2 linked regions of the Anolis sagrei genome follow. The protein of the gene in region 1 interacts with the protein of each later gene in a pairwise test. Links are inferred from orthologs where the notes say so. Each region holds a gene or a part of one and is shown in the gene's direction. Other genes may lie near its edges.

What was found.
Region 2: the proteins of TSC22D4 (region 1) and MAD2L1 interact in binary tests that used the Homo sapiens proteins (3 or more experiments, as listed by UniProt). The two-hybrid records come from large-scale screens. The link is inferred for Anolis sagrei from reciprocal best matches to the Homo sapiens genes TSC22D4 and MAD2L1.

The regions. Positions count from the first base shown.
Region 1 is NC_090026.1:2,042,276-2,053,191, forward strand, and holds the start of TSC22D4 (TSC22 domain family protein 4), read left to right. Parts: upstream 1-5,760; 5' UTR 5,761-6,205; coding exon 6,206-6,949; intron 6,950-10,916.
Region 2 is NC_090025.1:35,719,127-35,729,866, reverse strand, and holds the start of MAD2L1 (mitotic spindle assembly checkpoint protein MAD2A), read left to right. Parts: upstream 1-6,738; 5' UTR 6,739-6,919; coding exon 6,920-6,992; intron 6,993-10,740. UniProt on the Homo sapiens protein: Component of the spindle-assembly checkpoint that prevents the onset of anaphase until all chromosomes are properly aligned at the metaphase plate.

The DNA.
Region 1 (10,916 bases):
AATCCCCGCTGCCTTGCTTCCGATCCCGGTCTTAATCCCGTTATTTCCCCGTTTGAGACGGATTAGCCTTCTAGCACCTCGGCCTTGGTGTGTGTTGTGTGTGTGTGTTTGGGTGTAATCTCTTCCCAGAGGTAGAGTGGGAGGGGGTCACTCAGAGGGCATCTAGTCCAGCCTCAATGAGAGGGACCCTGAGGTCAAAAGGACCCCAAAGGGATGGGTTGAGTTAGCACATTTCTGAAGGTGCGTCTACACCAGGCATTGCCCAACTTCGGCCCTCTGGGTGTTTTGGACTTCAACTCCCACAATTCCTAACAGCCTACCGGCTGTTAGGAATTGTGGGAGTTGGAGTCCAAAACACCCAGAGGGCCGAAGTTGGCCCATGCCTGGTCTACATTGTGTGCAGTTGGAGGCCTTTTGACTCAAGGCTATATGCTTTTCGAGCTGTCTGGCCAAGTTCCAGTAGCATTGTCTCCTGACGTTTCACCTGCATCTGTGGCTAATGGAGTCTTCAGAGGTTCTGTTGGCTGTGAGGCAAGTGGAGTGTAAATAATGTACCTGTGGAATGATGCCCAGGGTGGGAGAAAGAACCCTTGTCTGCGTGAAGCAAGTGTGAATGTTGCAATTAGCCAGCTTGAATAGCATTGAGTAGCCTTGCAGCTGCAAAGTCAATCAGTGAGGGGATCTGCATAGAGGTCATGAAGCAAGTGGAGTGTATATATCTCTGTGGAATAATGTCCAGGGTGAGAGAAAGAACCCTTGCCTGTGTGAAGCAAGGGTGGATGTTGCAATTAGTGAGCTTGATTAGCATTGAGTAGCCAGGTAGCTGCAAAGTCCATTAGTAAGGGTATCTGCATAGAGGTAGCCTAGACATCTCCCAAACAGGGTGGGAGAAAGAACCCTTATCTATTGCAATTAGCAAACTTGAATTAGCATTTGCGTAGCTCTGAAGTTTGCAAAGTCAATCAGTGAGGGTATTTTGCATAGAGGTAGCCTAGCTGTCTCCCAAACAGGGTGGGAGAAAGAACCCTTGCTTGTTGCAATTAGCAAGCTTGAATTACGATTTGAGTAGCTCTGAAGTTTGCAAAGTCAATCACTGAGGGTATCTGCATAGATGTAGCCTAGCCACTTCCCAAACAGGGTGAGAGAAAGAATCCTTGCCTGTTGCAATTAGCAAGCTTTAATTAGCATTTGAGTAGCTCTGAAGTTTGCAAAGTCAATCAGTGAGGGTATCTGCATAGAGGTAGCCTAGCTGTCTCCCCAAAAGGGTGGGAGAAAAAACCCTTATCTGTTGCAATTGGCAAGCTTGAATTAGCATTAGCAATCAGTGAGGGTACTTTGCACAGAGGTAGCCTGCACATTCCATAGATAAAAGCCCTGAAGTCTGCAAAGTCAATCACTGAGGATACTTTGCATAGAGGTAGCCTGGACATTCCATAGATAGAAAAAAAGTCCTGAAGTTTGCAAAGTCAATCAGTGAGGGTATTTTGCATAGAGGCAGCCCGGACATTCCATAGATAGAAAAAAAGTCCTGAAGTTTGCAAAGTCAATCAGTGAGGGTATTTTGCATAGAGGTAGCCTGGACATTCCATAGATAGATAGAAGCCCTGAAGTTTGCAAAGTCAACCAGTGAGGCTATTTTGCATAGAGGTAGCCCGGACATTCCATAGATAGGAGAAAGCCCTGAAGTTTGCAAAGTCAACCAGTGAGGCTATTTTGCATAGAGGTAGCCTGGACATTCCATAGATAGATAAAAGCCCAGAAGTTTGCAAAGTCAATCAGTGAGGGTATTTTGCATAGAGGTAGCCTGGACATTCCATAGATAGGAGAAAGCCCTGAAGTTTGCAAAGTCAACCAGTGAGGCTATTTTGCATAGAGGTAGCCTTGACATTCCATAGATGGATAAAAGCCCAGAAGTTTGCAAAGTCAATCAGTGAGGGTATTTTTGCACAGAGGTAGTTTGGTATTTTGCATATAGGTAGCCTGGATATTCCAGAAATAGATAAAAACCCTGAAGTTGGCAAAGTCAATGCCTCCCAAACAGGGTGCGAGAAAGAACCCTTGTCTGTTGCAATTGGCAAGCTTGAATTAGCATTTGCGGAGCCCTGAAGTTTGCAAAGTCAACCCGTGAAGGTATTTTGCACAGGGTTAGTTTGGTATTTTGTATAGACCTCTATGCAAAATACCAAACTAACCCTGTGCAAAATACCTTCACGGGTATTTTGCACCTAGCCTGGACATTTTCATAGATGGATAGACAGACTCCCCTTGCTTCCGAACAAACCTCTGAAGATGCAATTATTGTTGTTGTTATTATTGTTTTGATTACTGATGTATTGTGGGCTCGGCCTCACGTAAGCCGCACTGAGTCCCCAACCCATCCAAAACACAGACATGTGCTCTGAAGTTTGCAAAGTCAATCAGTGAGGGTCTCTGCATGGAGGTAGCCTAGCCATCTCCCAAACAGGGTGGGAGAAAGAACCCTTGCCTGTTGCAATTAGCAAGCTTGAATTACCATTTAAGTAGCTCTGAAGTTTGCAAAGTCAATCAGTGAGGGTCTCTGCATGGAGGTAGCCTAGCCATCTCCCAAACAGGGTGGGAGAAAGAACCCTTGCCTGTTGCAATTAGCAAGCTTGAATTACCATTTAAGTAGCTCTGAAGTTTGCAAAGTCAATCAGTGAGAGTCTTTGCATAGAGGTAGCCTAGCCGGTTCCCAAACAGGGTGGGAGAAAAACCCTTGCCTGTTGCAATTAGCAAGCTTGAATTACCATTTAAGTAGCTCTGAAGTTTGCAAAGTCAATCAGTGAGGGTCTCTTCATAGAGGTAGCCTAGCCAGCTCTCAAACGGGGTAGGAGAAAGAACCCTTGTCTGTTGCAATGAGCAAGCTTGAATTAGCATTTGAGTAGCCCTGAAGTTTGCAAAGTCAATCAGTGAGGGTAGTTTGCATAGAGGTAGCCTGGGCATTCCATAGATAGATAGAAGCCCTGAAGTTTGCAAAGTCAACCAGTGAGGGTATTTGCATGGAGTTAGCCTGGATATTTCACAGATAGATAAATAGATAGATCAATCGATAGACAGACTCCCCTTGCTTCTGAACAGACCCCTGAAGATGCCATTAGCCACAGATGTAGGTGAAACATCAGGAGAGAATGCTGCTGGCACATGGCTAGTACAGACCTTAAAAACTCAACAGCAACCCAGGAAAGCCTTCAAGAACACATTGTATGTGTGTTCATTCGTTCAGTCGTCTCCGACTCTTCGTGACCTCATGGACCAGCCCACGCCAGAGCTCCCTGTCGGCCGTCACCACCCCCAGCTCCTTCAAGGTCAGTCCAGTCACTTCAAGGATGCCATCCATCCGTCTTGCCCTTGGTCGGCCCCTCTTCCTTTTGCCTTCCACCCAGGAAAGCCTTCAAGAACACACTGTATACTAATGTTTATATGTCAAGATACTTTGAATCCCCTTTGGGAAAGAGAAAGAAGTGTAAATAAATGTAGCAATGTGGGGTGAAACTGTATTCATTGCATGGCAGGTATGGGCCAAATTGGTCCCTCCGTCCAGGTGTTTTGGACTCCGACTCCCACCATTCCTCACAGCCTCAGGCCCCTTCCTTTTCCCCCTCCGCCGCTTAAGCCCGTGTCTTTGTGAAGCAAGGGTAGATGTTGCAATTAGTGAGCTTGATTAGCATTAAGTAGCCAGGAAGCTGCAAAGTCAATCAGCGAGGGTCTCTGCATGGAGGTAGCCTAGCCATCTCCCAAACAGGGTGGGAGAAAGAACCCTTGTCTGTTGCAATTAGCAAACTTGAATTAGCATTTGCATAGCTCTGAAGTTTGCAAAGTCAGTCAGTGAGGGTATTTTGCATAGAGGTAGCCCGAACATTCCATAGTTGGATAAAAGCCCTGAAGTTTGCAAAGTCAATGCCTCCCAAACAGGGTGGGAGGAAAGAACCCTTGTCTGTTGTAATTGACAAGCTTGAATCGGTATTTGCGGAGCCCTGAAGTCTGCAAAGTCAATCAGTGAGGGTATTTTGCACAGGGTTAGTTTGGTATTTTGCTTAGACCTCTATACCTTCACGGATATTTTGCACCTAGCCTGGACATTTTCATAGATGGATAGACAGACTCCCCTTGCTTCCGAACAAACCTCTGAAGATGCCATTATTATTGTTGTTGTTATTGTTTTGATTACTGATGTAATTTGGGCTCGGCCTCACGTAAGCCGCACCGAGTCCCCAACTCATCCAAAACACAGACATGTGCCCTGAAGTTTGCAAAGTCAATCAGTGAGGGTCTCTGCGTGGAGGTAGACTAGCCATCTCCCAAACAGGGTGGGAGAAAGAACCCTTGCCTGTTGCAATTAGCAAGCTTGAATTACCATTTGAGTAGCTCTGAAGTTTGCAAAGTCAATCAGTGAGAGTCTTTGCATAGAGGTAGCCTAGCCGGTTCCCAAACGGGGTGGGAGAAAAAACCCTTGCCTGTTGCAATGAGCAAGCTTGAATTACTATTTGAGTAGCTCTGAAGTTTGCAAAGTCAATCAGTGAGAGTCTTTGCATAGAGGTAGCCTAGCCGGTTCCCAAACGGGGTGGGAGAAAAAACCCTTGCCTGTTGCAATGAGCAAGCTTGAATTACTATTTGAGTAGCTCTGAAGTTTGCAAAGTCAATCAGTGAGAGTCTTTGCATAGAGGTAGCCTAGCCGGTTCCCAAACGGGGCATTCCATAGATTGATAGAAGTCCTGAAGTTTGCAAAGTCAATCATTGAGGGTATTTTGCATACAGGTAGCCTGGACATTCCATAGATAGTTTGCAAAGTCAGTGCCTCCCAAACAGGGTGGGAGGAAAGAACCCTTGTCTGTTGCAATTGGCAAGCTTGAATCGGCATTTGCGGAGCCCTGAAGTTTGCAAAGTCAACCCGTGAGGGTATTTTGCACAGGGGTAGTTTGGTATTTTGCAAAGAGGTAGCCCAGACATTCCATAGATAGATAGACAGCCAGACTCCCCTTGCTTCTGAACAAACCTCTGAAGATGCCATTAGCCACTGATTGAAACATCAGGAGGGAATGCTGCTGGAGTCAATCAGTGAGGGTATTTTGCACAGTGAGGGTAGTTTGGTATTTTGCATAGAGGTAGCCTGGACATTCCATAGATAGATAAATAGATAGATAGATCAATCGATAGACAGACTCCCCTTGCTTCTGAACAGACCCCTGAAGATGCCATTAGCCACAGATGTAGGTGAAACATCAGGAGAGAATGCTGCTGGCACATGGCTAGTACAGACCTTAAAAACTCAACAGCAACCCAGGAAAGCCTTCAAGAATACATTGTATACTAATGTTTATATGTCAAGATACTTTGAATCCCCTTTGGGAAAGAGAAAAGGAAGTGTAAATAAATGTAGCAATGTGGGGTGAAACTGTATTCATTGCATGGCAGGTATGGGCCAAATTGGGCTCTCCGTCCAGGTGTTTTGGACTCCGACTCCCACCATTCCTCACAGCCTCAGGCCCCTTCCTTTTGCCCCTCAGCCGCTTAAGCGGCTGAGGGGCAAAAGGAAGGGGCCTGAGGCTGTGAGGAATGGTGGGAGTCGGAGTCCAAGCTACCTGGATGGAGAGCCCAATTTGGCCCATACCTGTGCGTGCTTCTTCTCTCTGGGCCTTCTTGGCCTTGCTTTGCTGGGCTCCGGGAAGGAAGGGGTTAAGGGGGGCTGGGCCAGCCTTGGGGGGAGGGCAAGGGAGGGGAGGGGAGGGGCAGGCAGTCAGCTGGTTGGGAAGGAAGGACTGACGGAAGGAAGGAAGGAGGGGCCGGACTGACTTCCTTGCTGCTGCTTCTGCTGCTTCGGGTGTCACTCCTCGGTTGCTTCGCCTTGTCAACAGCCTTGCCTTGGGCCAACCGAGGTCGCGGCCTCCCCTAGACAGACCCTCTTTTTTCCCCCTCCCCAATCTTCCCCTTCCCCAAGCCAGGCTTTGTCTATCTCTAAGCTCTGTTGGGGTCTCCCTGACCTTTGACCCCCTTGTGTTGTGACCCCGGCATGGGGTCGGCTTCAGGACTGCGTTGGTGTCTTGCTAATCATAACGATAGGAATTAGACTATACTGATATTCCACCCTCCTCTCTCCCCTCGCCAGGATTTGGGGACGATGATGATGATGATGAGGAGGACAACGACGGTGCCGCCTCGGTGAAGCCCCCGCCTCGTTGCCCCCAGGACCATGAGCGGCGGAGGCAAGAAGAAGAGCGGGTTCCAGATCACCAGCGTCACTTCGGACTACGAGCAGAAAGAAGGACGAGCGGACGCCGCAAAGGTTGGGACGGAAGCAGAAGGGGACGCTGGCCCGCGGGCCAACGGCGGCAACGGTGGGGCGGCCAGAAATGGCCCCACGGCCCCCACCTCCCCGTTGACCGCTCCGTCGCTGGTGTCCGGCTCGCGCTTCCGGGTGGTGAAGCTGGACCCAGGTCCCGGGGAGCCTTACAAGCGTGGCCGCTGGACGTGCCGGGACTTCTACGACGCCGAAGCCGAATCCCACCCCCAGCACCCCTTTGTGGGGCGGCTGGCCGAAGCCGGGCGACACCCGCAGTCTCTGGACTCCCGGCTGGAAGTGGCTGGACTGCTGACCCATCCTCAAGGGCCCTTCAGCCCGCAACCTCAGCGCAGAGGAGGAGGATTTGGAGGTGCCTGCGCCGGTTTGCACTCCCAACTGGTGTTGCCCCCAGCTACGTCCAGCCACCAGGCTCGCTCCCTCGGCGGAGGTCTCCCGGTTATGGTCCGGCCCCACAGGACTCCCCCCAGCCCGGTCTCCCTCCGCAGCCCCCTGGCCTCGGTCCCCAAAGAGGCCGGGGATCCCGGGACCCTCTCTGTTGGGGCCCCAACCGTGCCCACTTTGGTGGTGGAGGAGCACCTCCTGCCCAAGAGCGTCTCAAAGCTGATCCAGAGGGAGACGGATGAGCGACGCAAGGTGAGGCTTTGGGGTGGGCCTGGGTTTGGGGGGCAGGTGGTCCTCCACGTCCTCTGGTTGGCACCATCAAAGTCTTGGGAAGAATAACTCGAAAACATGGAACCGAGGAAGAATAACTGGAAGGCATGGAGCAATAACGGAGGAAGACTCACCCAAAGGCGTGGAACCATCATAGAGCCAGAGCTTCTATTATGGTTCCTCTGTCATGGTTCCAAGCCTTTGGGTGAGTCTTCCTCCATTGTATTGTCGAAGGCGTTCATGGCTGGAATCACTCAGTTCTTGTGGGTTTTTTCGGGCTATACGGCCATGTTCTAGAGGCATTTCTCCTGACGTTTCGCCTGCATCTATGGCAAGAGGAGAAATGCCTCTAGAACATGGCCCTATAGCCCGAAAAAACCCACAAGAACCTAGACCTCACCTCTGAGGATGCTTGTCATAGATGCAGGCGAAACGTCAGGAGAAATGCCTCTAGAACATGGCCGTATAGCCCGAAAAAACCCACAATAATCTTCCTCCGTTATGGTTGCATGCCTTCAAGTCCTTCCCAACTCAGGACGGCCCACATTTAAGGTTTCCCAGGCCAGATCTCCTTGCAGTAGCTTCCTTCCAAGGCTGAGAGAATGTGACTCTCTCCCCAGTGTGCGGTTTCAAATCCAGGCCTCATAGAGTTTTGGAGCAGGGTTCAGTATTCAAGCCTTTGGGGCCCAATTGATTTCAGGCAAAATTGTAGCTCTGAAGTTTGCAAAGTCAATCAGTAAGGGTCTCTGCATAGAGGTAGCCTAGCTGGCTCCCAGATGGGATGAGAGAAAGAACCCTTGCATCTTGCAATTAGCAAGCTTGAATTAGCATTTGAGTAGCCCCAAAGTTTGTGAAGTCAATCAGTGAGGGTCTCTGCATAGAGGTAGCCTAGCCGGCTCCCAGATGGGATGAGAGAAAGAACCCTTGCATCTTGCAATTAGCAAGCTTGAATTAGCATTTGAGTAGCCCCGAAGTTTGTGAAATCAATCAGTGAGGGTCTCTGCATAGAGGTAGCCTGGCCAGCTCCCAAACGGGTGGGAGAAAGAACACTCGCCTGTTGCAATTAGCAAGCTTGAATTAGCATTTGCATAGCTCTGAAGTTTGTGAAGTCAATCAGTAAGAGTCTCTAGAGATAGTCTAGCCGTCTCCCAAACAGGATGGGAGAAAGAACCCTCGCCTGTTGCAATTAGCAAGCTTGAATTAGCATTTGAGTAGCTCTGAAGTTTGCGAAGTCAATCAGTAAGGATATCTGCATAGAGGTAGCCTAGCCACTTCCCAAACAGGGTGGGAGAAAGAACCCTTGTCTGTTGCAGTTGGTAAGCTTGAATTAGCATTTTAAGAGCCCTGAAGTTTGCAAAGTCAATCAGTGAGGGCATTTTGCATAGAGGGAGCCTGGACATTCCATAGATAGATAGAAGCCCTGAAGTTTGCAAAGTCAATCACTGAGGGTATTTTGCATAGAGGGAGCCTGGACATTCCATAGATAGATAGAAGCCCTGAAGTTTGCAAAGTCAATCACTGAGGGTATTTTGCATAGAGGGAGCCTGGACATTCCATAAATAGATAGAAGCTCTGAAGTTTGCAAAGTCAATCAGTGAGGGTCTCTGCATAGAGGCGTGGAACCATAATAAAGCCAGAGCTTCTATTATGGTTCCTCTATCATGGTCCCATGCCTTTGGGTGATTCTCCCTCCGTTATTGTTGCATGCCTTCAAGTCCTTCCCGACTCAGGACGGCCCTCGCTTAAGGTTTCCCCGGGCCAGATCTCCTTGCAATAGCTTCCTTCCAAGGCTGAGAGAATGTGACTCTCTCCCCAGTGCGCAGTTTCGAATCCAGGCTTAATAGAGTTTTGGAGCACAAGACTCCTGAACTTACGATCATGGAAAAAAACAAAGTGCGGATCGTCAATGTTGCAATCCCAGGTGACAGCAGAATTGACGAGAAGCAACTGGAAAAGCTGACACGATGCAAAGATTTAAAGCTCGAACTGCAAAGACTCTGGCACAAGCCGATCAAGGGGGTCCCAGTGGTGATTGGCACACTGGGTGCAGTGCCTCAAGCCCTCGGCCTGTACTTAAAAACAATATGCACTGACAAAATCACCACCTGTCAGCTGCAAAAGGCCACCCTAATAATAATAATAATAATAATAATAGTAGTAGTAGTAATAGTAGTAGTAATAGTAATAATAGTAATAATAGTAACAATAGTAATAATAATAATACAACACAATATGAGGATTTAAAGCTTGAACTGCACAAGCCGGTCAAGGGGGTCCCAGTGGTGATCTGCACACTGGGTGCAGTGCCTCAGGACCTCGGCCTGTACTTAAAAACAATATGCACTGACAAAATCACCACCTGTCAGCTGCAAAAGGCCACCCTAATAATAATAATAGTAATAGTAATAGTAATAGTAATAGTAATAATACAACACAATATGAGGATTTAAAGCTCGAACTGCAAAGACTCTGGCACAAGGCGGTCCCAGTGGTGATCGGCACACTGGGTGCAGTGCCTCAAGCCCTCGGCCTGCACTTAAACACAATCGGCGCTGACAAAATCACCACCTGTCAGCTGCAAAAGGCCATCCTAATACTACTACTACTACTACTACTAATAATAATAATAATAATAATACAACACAATATGAGGATTTAAAGCTCAAAGCGCAAAGACTCTGGCACGAGCCGGTCAAGGTGGTCCCAGTGGTGATCAGCAAACTGGGTGCAGTGCCTAAAGACCATGACCTGCACTTAAAAACAATCGGCGCTGACAAAATCACTAACTGTCAGCTGCAAAAGGCCACCCTAATATTAATAATAACAATAGTAATAATAATAATAATAATACACAATATGAGGATTTAAAGCTCGAACTGCGAAGACTCTGGCACAAGCCAGTCAAGGGGGTCCCAGTGGTGATCGGCACACTGGGTGCAGTGCCTCAAGACCTTGGCCTGTGCTTAAAAACAATAGGCACTGACAAAATCACCACCTGTCAGCTGCAAAAGACCAACCTAATAATAATAATAATAATAATAATAATAATAATAATAATAATAATAATACAACACAATATGAGGATTTAAAGCTCAAACTGCAAAGACTCTGGCACAAGCCAGTCAAGGCGGTCCCAGTGGTGATCGGCACACTGGGTGCAGTGCCTCAAGACCTTGGCCTGTACTTAAAAACAATAGGCACTGACAAAATTACCACCTATCAGCTGCAAAAGGCCACCCTAATATTAATAACAACAACAACAACAACAACAACAACAATAATAATAATAATACACAATATGAGGATTTAAAGCTCTAACTGCAAAGACTCTGGCACAAGCCAGTCAAGGGGGTCCCAGTGGTGATCGGCACACTGGGTGCAGTGCATCAAGACCTTGGCCTGTACTTAAAAACAATAGGCACTGACAATATTGGCATCTGTTAGTTGCAAAAGGCCATCCTACTTGGATCTGCACGCATTATTCGCCGATACATTGGAAGTATCCAACATGTAATCCAATATAGTGATCTTGTTTGCTGTGTACTCATCTTGTTGTGTATCAAACAACAACAACCTTTGTTTATATCCTGCTGCCACCATCTCCCAAAAGGGACTCGGGGCGGCTTGCAGAAGCACATTAATAGTGCTGCACGAACATACAGAATACAGTAAAATACATAAAACATTTAGAAAACAATAACAATATTAATTCACATTAAACAAATTTACATAAAAAGCGTACAAAAAGCCCTCGATTCCTTTGGCCTTCCTCTAAGACAGACATGGGCCAACTTGGGCCCTCCAGGTGTTTTGGACTTCAACTCCTACAATTCCTAACAGCCGGTAGGCTGTTAGGAATTGTGGGAGTTGAAGTCCAAAACACCTGGAGGGCCCAAGTTGGCCAATGCTTGATCTAGCTGAGCATGAACTCGAATCTGGGTCTTTCAGG
Region 2 (10,740 bases), on another chromosome or scaffold:
GAGATGCAGAGCCAACCTTAAGAAATGGGGACACAAAGTGGAGTCCACAACATGTAAGTGTGGAGAAGAGCAAACCACAGACCACCTCTTACAATGCAGTCTGAGCCCTGCCACATGCACAATGGAGGACTTTCATATAGCAACACCAGAGGTACTCCAAGTGTCCAGCTTCTGGTCAAAGGACATTTAATAGAATGCCAAGTTTTCAAACTTTGTGGTTTTGTTGCTGTTGTTTGCTTTTAATACATTACAACGGTATCCTTGGTTTCCTCCTGACATCTATATAAATGTAATGTTTGTTTGTGGAATTAACATAACTCAAAAACCACTGGACGAACTGACACCAAATTTGGACATAACACACCTATCAGGACAAGTGACCATCACTCATAAAAACGCTGAAAAATACAGCACAAGAGACTTTAAAAGCCAACTCCCCCAAAATACATTTCAAAGGGTGCGCAAAATCATACATATACACAAACACATATATACACATATATACAAATATACGCATATATACACATCCAAAACACATATACACAGAGTGGGCCACAGCAACGTGTGGCAGGGGATGGCTAGTGATAAATAAATAAATATATAGATAAATATAGTCACAGCTCTGGAATAAAAACTATCTTTTCCGCCTATTTGTCCTTGTTTTTATCATACTACATTGTCTGCCAGATGGTAATAATTCCAAACAATATATTCTTGTGATGAGAAACTCCTCAATTCAGACAAGGTAAACAAAGAAAAAAGAATTGAAGTATTCCAGACTTGAGTCCAATCCCAGGAAATCAAGATTCTTGAGCCAAAATCTAGTAAGAACATTTATGGGACATTAAAGTCCATATGAGAAAAGAAAAGAAAAGAAAAGAAAAGAAAAGAAAAGAAAAGAAAAGAAAAGAAAAGAAAAGAAAAGATTCACTCTTGGGGGTGTGAAGATTGATATTCCATAAATCAAAGAGAAAGGTCAGCTTTCAACTAATTTATTAGCAAGAAACAAGATTGGAAGCAAATACATGAAAGTAATCCAAGACCAAGTATTTTATAGGAAAACATACTTAAGAGACCTAAGCCACTAGAAGTTAGCTTACTATTTCAAAAAAAATAACTGGAATCTAGATATGACAGAAAAAAAAACATGAATTATGTTATATTTCCAAAGGTGAACTCTAAAACAATCTTAACGTTAAATTGTCTTAGTGCAACTGACAAATATTTAAGATAGCGTTGTTGTTGGTGCTCATACGGCTGTCTAAATACAATCTGTCTAGTTCAGCTTCCTTTAAAATGTCTGGTACACAAAATATTTGTGCTCATATCATAAGTTGACATGCTGAACTCTACACTGCAATCTGCTTTTCATTTGAAAAGAGTGGCAACAGTTAATTACAAAGCACAGCTTCTGTGACTCAACCATTTTGCATTTAAAGGTGCTTGATCTTTTCCAGAGAAGGAGCATAAAATTTATTTAATTTAACCAACACATATTTGGTTAAAATACTATCAAAAGAGTGACTGGAATCCCTCTGTGTCAGCTGGAAAAGTCACTTTGAAGAAGGTGTTTATTAGGAACATTTTCCATGGTCACAACAGGTGGCTCGAAATGTCTGGGTAAAATCAGCTGCTGCTTATTAGAGAGTAGACACTCCCAACAGGGCAAAACATCAATAAATAGTAGGGATGCCAGGATTTGGAACCGATTTTACATGTTGCGTGCAATTAAATAAAGTACTAAGCTAATTTCTACATGGAACTAATTTTTGTCATATGACATGCAATCCTTACATTTCAACTACTAAGTAATCATAAATATACAGTAGAGTCTCGCTTATCCAACATAAATTCCCGGCAGAAGGTTGGATAAGCGAAAATGTTGTATAATAAGGCAGGATTAAGGAAAAGCCTATTAAACATCAAATTATGTTATGATTTTACAAATTAAGTACCAAATCATTATGTCTTACAACAAATAGACAGAAAAAGCAGTTCTATATACGGTAACGTTATGTAGTCATTACTATATTTACAAATTTAGCACCAAAACATTGCAAAGTATTGAAACATTTGTGGATCTGGATGGGAGGCAGATTGCGTTGGATAATATAGAACGTTGGATGAGCAAAGGTTGGATAAGCGAGACTCTACTGTATAGTTTAAAAGGGATGGAACAGGAAAGTATCTTGACTTCAAATATCCCTTCATAATAATTTTTGGCTGCTCATTTTATAAAAGATAATATAATAACATGTTGGTCAGCAGAAACATGGCCGACTTCCTTTGTTTCAATAGTATAGAATGGAAGACAGACTGACTTATTAATAAAATATTTGAAATATATGCATACAATCTGTTAATCTTGAACTTCAGATTAATGATGACATAAAGAAGAAACCAAAGGAAAAGTGCAAGGAAAACAAAGTTGTTCTGAAGGGGATGTAGTTTTATAATATTTTAAATTGCACTATAGGACTGTAGGTTCCATCTGTAGAGTGTAAATAGACTGAAATATAGCTTTGAAAAAGAGCTGCCACTGCAGCTTAGGGAGTAGCCTTCGTGCCTACCCTCCCTATTCTTTCACACAGCATTCTTGTAAGCAAAAGATAAGCCAGTGCCTGCCAAGCACTTCCCAGCGAGTCAGGGTCACTTGAAAGAGATGTGAACTTTCCAGTTAATTCTAGTTTCTGTTGTTTTCCACCTGTCTGCTTGCTTAGGAATAAAGAGCCAATCCGAAATGTATTAGGCAAGCTTAGACCAATCAAACAGACAATATGTTGACATCAATCAAAATGCACTTTTTGGATTTCTGTAAAACAATAAAAGATTGCGATCCCAATCTTTTGGGGCGCGGTAGTCTTTTCATGTGTAGAGCACAACTGCCGCCATTTGCACGGTCGGCAAATAAAGCTAATCTTCAGAGAGATTCAATTTGTTGTTGTGTCCTTCCATGCCACCCTTCCAAGACAGAAGGGGACTTCTGGGAATGTGCAGAGTGCATGCCCCTTCAATTCCATAAATCCTTTACACTACATTTCAGTATACAGGATGGCTGTTCTATGTAAAATAGGGGTGAATAAACATCTGCAGGGTATAAAATACCCTTTGATGCAAGGCTGAATTGGACGAAGCAAATAACATGCATTTGATAACATTGTTATTTTATTGAAATGAAAACAAATTCACTTGGGTTTTTTTTAAAATAAAAAACTTTTCTCAAGACCTTATTTGAATATTCAAAAACATAACTCATTGTCCTTGTCAAAAAGATGAAATCCTTTCACTTTTATTAAGAAAAAATAAAAGTGGTGAGGAAGAAGACAAAGTGGATGTGGATAAAACACTGATTTTTTTTTTCTACTAGGAAAAAGAGATAAAATTGTTGGCAAACAGGTCAAATAAGCAAAGCAATTTATTGTAAACAGAAATCAAATGTGTTTGTGTGTGAACAATTTATACTAACATTTATCTAGTGCCAAAAGCGACAAACACAGCTGCAGAATATTTGCCCCATGAATTGATAAAAAAGTTAATGTGATCAAAGATGTACATTATTTGCATGCATTGAACATGACAGCCAGGAACTTTTTTTTTCCTTTTGTGATGCAGAAGGATCTGGGCCATTGCAATGAGTGAGGCTGTCCTTTGACTGTCCATGCTGTTTTGTTTGTTTTTTTTCACTTTTCAGGACAACACTGAGAGAATCAAGCACTTTTAGTTAAACACTACCATCTTGTGGTAATTCTAGTGAAAAACCTAAATCTATTCTAGAAATGGCAAAACGAATTCAGTAATGCTCTGGACCTTCACATTCTTATGTTCCAAAACTTGTTCTCAACTAATCCAGTCATAATTTACAAGAGGAAGGAGTCTAAATTATGTTTACATTTTATCACCATAAATTATTACTACCTGCTCAAACTATTGGCATTTGAAAACCTGGTAAAGATGCCTCCAATGCCAAGAACTACCGACCAATCACTCTCATGTGACATTGGTATAAAATATATGAGGGTATGCTATTAAATCAACTAGGCCCTGTTATTGAACCCCAGCTTATTGCACAACAAGCAGGTTTCAGACTAGGGAAAAACTGTACAGCTCAAATTCTTAACTTGACCTAGTATATCAGGGAAGGCTATGAGAAAGATTGTATTACGGGAATAGTTTTTGTGGACCTTATGGCAGCCTATGACATGGTGTAATATAGGAAATTGCTGCATAAAGTCTACCATATCACCTGGGATTACGATTTTATAAAAACTATCCAGACCCTCCTAGAAAACCTCAGCTTCTATATGGAGTCTTAGGGCAGGAAAGGTAGATGGAGAAGGCAAAATAATGATCTACTTCAAGGCAGTGTTCTTGCACATACGCTGTTTAACATTTATACTAATGATTAGCCACAACCACAACTCACAAAGAGCTTTATATACACTGATGACCTTGGCCTAACAACACAAGCAAAGGACTTTGAAACAGTAGAAAACCAACTTACTAATGCCCTGAAAAATCTCTCAGGTGGTTGTCTTTGAAGTATTACACCTGCCAAGACCCAAGTGTGTGCTTTCCACCAACATAATGGTGAAGGCAACAGGAAACTGAAGGTTACCTGGGAAGGCCAAGAACTTGAACACTGTTCCCACCCTAAATATCTCGGCGTTACCTTGGATCAAACACTAACATTTAGGAAACACTGTGCGAACACCAAGCACAAAGTATCTGCACACAATAACATCCTGTCGAAACTTACTAATAGTGCATGGGGTGCAGACCCAAAATTAATAAGAACATCAGCCCTGGCCTTGTCTTACTCAACTGCTGAGTATGCCTGCCTTGTTTGGCACAAGTCTGCCTACATGAAGCAAGTGACTATAGCACTGAATGAGACATGTAGAATAATCACAGGATGTCCCAAATGTACACCTGTTGATAGACTCTATAAGCTATCTGGCATTACCCCCCCCCCCCCAATGTGCAATGGCTGTTGCTAATTACGAGAGAAATAAGGTTGAACACTGAAAACCATGCACTGTATGTTTATTAGTCTCCTCCCTGTAGACTTAAATCAAGGGAAAGTTTCATGAGAACCAACACTCCTCTTAATGCTCCCCAAGAAACAGCAAGAATATCCCTTTGGGCATCTAAACATTAAATCATCTGGGTGTCCCCTGGGCAACGTCCTTGCAGACAGCCAATTCTCTCACACCAGAAGCGACTTGCAGTTTCTCAGGTCGCTCCTGACACGACCAAATCTAAACCAGGAAATCCCAACCGGATGCCCCACCCCCCATGAGGGTCCTCCTCCAGGGGCAAACCAAGAATGAGCAACTTGGAAGTCCCTGAAAAGACTCAGAAGCGGAGTTGGTAGATCAAAAGACAACCTGGGAAAATGGCACTACCTATTAGCATATAGATGCGGAGTTTACTTTGTGTGACTGTGGAGCAGAACAAACAACTCCACATCTAGATGCTTGCCCACGATGTCCTGCCTCATACATAGCAGAAGAACTAGTTAAAGCTACAGACAATGCAGTCTGTTGCCAGTTTTTGGTCTAAAATTATCTAGCTGTTTGTGCTCTTTTTATTTTATCAGTTTTATACTTATTTGTTTATGCAATGCTTTTGACACAAAATAAATAAAACCTGCTCAGACTGTGGAAGAAAAATGAACACATTGTTTACTTTTCTGTCAACCAAAGTCCCACTTCATCAAATTTGTAATGGCATATATCTGATCAAACAAATGTCAGTAGATCCAGTGAAATAAATGGGATTCACAATGGGTTTTCTCTGATTGTAAATAACACAAAGGGGGGAGGAGGACTGTGAACGGTAGACCCAAATTGCACTGTTGTTTCATATTGCAGCTAGCTAATATTGATTGTGCAGATGTGGGCAAACTTGGGCCCTCCAGGTGTTTTGGACTTCAACTCCCACAATTCCTAACAGCCGTCAGGAGAAAAATTGCCTCCAGAACATGGCCATATAGCCCGGAAAAACCTACAACAACCCATGGATTCCGGCCATGAAAGCCTTCCACAATACAGCCGGTAGGCTGTTAGGAATTGTGGAAGTTGAAGTCCAAAACACCTGGAGGGCCCAAGTTTGCCCATGCCTGCTCTAATATATAGTTTCAAGTCACAATCACAACTATAAAAAGGGCCAGCATTAAGGAAAACAATGAGTCCTGAATAAGTACAAAAGTAAATAAACACCTGGTTGCATCAGCTTAGCTAATGGAAATAATTAGAATCAGGTGCATGAACATTTAGATAAATGGGGAAGTTTGTTGGGTGGCATCTCAAAAGGACATTTAATCAACTACCAAACTCACAAATTTTGTATTTTGTCTGTTTGTTTGCTTTGTTGTGTTAGAAATGCAATATAATTTGGCTGGTTGTCCTGACATGACAAATAAATAAAATCTCAAAAGGATCAAAACTTTGGTCATTCTTTCTTTATGTTTCTGTTTGTAAGAGAACTAATTTGGGATTGGCAGATTCCTTAGATATCTTAACTTTACTAATCCTGGAATTCCATATAGCTGGCTGTTAAAAGCAATATTTTAAGTCTTACATCAATTGGGTGGGAAACCGCGGGAAAACTTCATTGAGAAAGCCGCGCATGCGCACATAATAAGAGCTAAAGGCGGCTCAAATGAAATAGAACGTCTCTGTCGTCTTCCTCCGTTTGCGCCTGCGCAGTGAGTCGCCGGCGTCAAGTCTTGCGTCTTGGGACCACGTGACGATGCAGGGGCGGGGCTTTGGATTTTGAAAAGCGTGGCGGGAAGGCCTCTAAAGCTACTGTCTCGTGTTTTGGAAGGGGCGAATTTCCAAGGCTTTGGGGGAGGCCTTCTTCCGGTGGTTTCTCGTTTGGATCCTGACCCTGCTGGCCCTTTTCCTTCCTGCCCGCCATGGCGAAGCAGCAGAGCCGGGAGCAAGGCATCACCCTGCGGGGCAGCGCGGAAATCGTGGCCGAGTTCTTTTGTGAGTCGATTACAAGACTGTGGGGGCGGTTTGACACTATAGTAATTGCTATGGCCGGGTGCTATTGAATTATGGGAGGTGTAGCTTTACAAGGCCTATAGTTCTTTCTGCCAAAGAGTGGTGGTGCCTCAACAAACTACATATCCCACAATTCTGTAGCATTGAGCCATAGCCGTTAAAGTGGATTCGAACTGTATTAATTCAAGTGTAGATCAGGGATGGGCAAACTTGGGCCCTCCAGGTGTTTTGGACTTCAACTCCCACAATTCCTAACAGCCTCAGGCCCTTTCCTTTTCAGGGTGAAAAGGAAAGGGCCTGAGGCTGTTAGAAATTGTGGGAGTTGAAGTCCAAAACACCTGGAGGGCCCAAGTTTGCCCATGCCTGGTGTAGATTGTAAATAGGCCAGGCTGAAGCTGAACTGAGGCCTATTCAGCTGAAACTTTAAAGCAGCCAATGTGTTTCCTGATTCTGTTTGTCTTTCTTCCCTTTCTCTGTCTCCTTTGATATTAAGAAGTATGATAGATAAGGAAAACATGGGAAGAACTCTCTCCAGGGAAGTCTCCTTTGCAATATAAATAGAAATGCCTCCTTAAGAATGTCTAATATTGTGCTATGCTAATAATATATATTGTATATACATATAATATTGATGATAACATTATAATGTAATACAATATTATACTAATAATACTATGATATAATAATTGTGTATTATATATTACAAGTAATATTACTAATATTGCAGTATAGTGGTATAGTACAATATAGTAATATATAATACTAATATTGTGCTATGCTAATATAACATATTGTATGTACATGTAACATTGATCATAATATTGTAATACAATATAATACTAATAATATTGCAGTATAGTGGTATGGTACAATATAGTAATATATAATACTAACATTGTGCTATGCTAATATAATATATTGTATGTACATGTAACATTGATCATAATATTGTAATATAATATAATACTAATAATATTGCAGTATAGTGGTATAGTACAATATAGTAATATATATAATACTAACATTGTGCTATGCTAATATAATGTATGTATGTATAAAATTGATTATAATATTGTTATACAATATAATGCAATATAATAATTATATATTACATGTAATATTACTAATAATATTGCACTGTAGTGGTATAGTACAATATAGTAATATATAATACTAATATTGTGCTATGCTAATAATATAATATACTGTATGTACATGTAACATTGATTATAATATTGTTATACAATATAATGCAATATAATAATTGTATATTGTATATTACATGTAATATTACTAATAATAGTGGTATAGTACAATATAGTAATATATAATACTAATATTGTGCTGTGCTAATAATATAATATACTGTATGTAGATATAACATTGATCATAATATTGTAATACAATATAACACTAATAATACAATATAATATAATAATTATATATCACATGTATTGTTACTAATAATATTGCAGTATAGTGGCATAGTACAATATAGTAATATATAATATTAATATTGTGCCATGCTAATAATATAATCTATTGTATGTACATATAATATTGATCATGATATTGTAATACAATGTAATTCTAATAATAATGCAACATAATTGTATATTATATATTACATGTAATTACTAATAATATTGCAGTTTAGTGGTATATAATACTAATATTGTGCTCAGCTAATATAATATATTATATGTACATATAACATTGATCATAATACTGTAATACAATATAATACTACTAATAATGCAATATTATAATATAATCATATATAATACTGATATTGTGCCATGCTAATAATATAATCTATTGTATGTACATATAATATTGGTCATAATATTGTGATACAATATAATAATACTAATAATAATACAATATAATATAATGATTATATATTGTATGTAATATTACTAATAATATTGCAGTATAGTAGTATAGTACAATATAGTAATATATAATACTTATGTTGTGCTATTCTAATAATATAATATATTGTATGTACATATAACTTGTAAGCTGTTCTGAGTCCCCTTTGGGGTGAGAAGGGCAGGATATAAATGTCGTAAATAAATAAATGTCTTTTAGTATTTGCACATTTATAATAATGATAATATTAAAAAAAACTTTGCTTCAAGATCTACCTCCTTCCCGAAGGGACTCAGGGTGGTTTACAGACACAAAGCAAAAGGCAAACATTCAATGCCCCAAATGAATACAAACACATCAAAATAATACAAGATAAGGCACAGAAACAGCAGCAAACTAAGAGCAAAGAAGTAAGTTGCTCTGAGTCCCCTTCGGGGTGAGAAAGGCTGAAATTAACATAAAGCAATCCAATAAGACACAGTAAACTAAAACATGAGTAAGACATTTCAGTATATACCCTAAAAGCAATTATGACTTCAACTCCCACAATTCCTAACAGCCTTGAAGTCCAAAATACCTGGAGGGCTGAAGTTTGCCTATGCCTGTGTTAGACCTTCTCAACCTAAAAACAAGTCTAGTTGAAATCTGGGGTTTCTGTTACATAGATTATTATTATGTTTATTTATACCCTGCTTTATCTCCCCAAGGAACTCAAAACAGCTTGACATAAAAGCATCAGCATAGCCATTTGAAATATACAAATATACGAACATTAAAGCAGGATTAAATATAAATAGTATTAAAGCATTCCCAATTAAAACAAATCAAAGTTAGATCTCTGTTGGCTTCCACTGTAAATTCATATTAACCCTGCCGTGTCTTTACATTGCTGTCTTCTCCCAGAGTGAGTGTTAGATTTTAATCTTTTGAGTAATAAGAGTTGGCAAAGGCAGTACAGCTTTCTGGGGTTCAGGGCATATTCTTAGAGAAAATACATCTCGTATAGACTAGTTACATCTGTTGGTTTCATCTCGTAATGCACTGTATGTGGGGCTGCTTTTCAAGACTTTTTGGAAGCTTCAACTAGTCTAATGTGTGGTAGCCATATTGCTAACAGGAGTGGCGTACAGAGAGCACACAATCCTCCTGTTATGCCAGCTCCATTGGCTGCCAGCTTGCTACCGAGCACAATTCAAAGCGCTGGCTTTGGTCTATAAAGCCCTTAACGGCCTTGGCCCAGTTTACCTGTCTGAACGCATCTCCCTCTATGAACCATTGCAGAGGCTAAGATCTTCTGGTGAGGCCCTGCTCTCAGTCCCACCACCTTCGCAGGCACGGCTGGTGGAGACAAGAAAGAGGGTCTTCTCAGTGGTGGCCCCTCGGCTGTGGAATTAGATCGGCTTCCCACCTGTCATTTTGCAAACAAATTAAAACTCGGCTTTAGGAGCATAATTACTTGTGCAATATAACTGGAATTGGTTTTGGATTGATGAATATGACTATCTTCATGAATATATGCACAATAGTTGTCTAATGTGTGCATATGTTGCTTTAATGTTGTTTTTAATCGTCGTTTAATTGTTTTTAACTGTTATTCGGGCATGGAATAGTGCCCCTTATGTAAGCCGCCCTGAGTCCCCTTCAGGGTGAGAAGAGTGGGATATAAATATATGCAAGTTAATAAATAAATATTTTAAGTCAAATCTGTGAATAATCAAATGAACAAAAATCTAAACCACAAACATGGAGAGATGAATATATACAACACAGCTAGCCCTCCATAGCCATGGGTTCAATCATCCTAAAAATATTCCCTCCCTCCAAAAAAATAAACAATTCCTAAAAGCAAACCTTG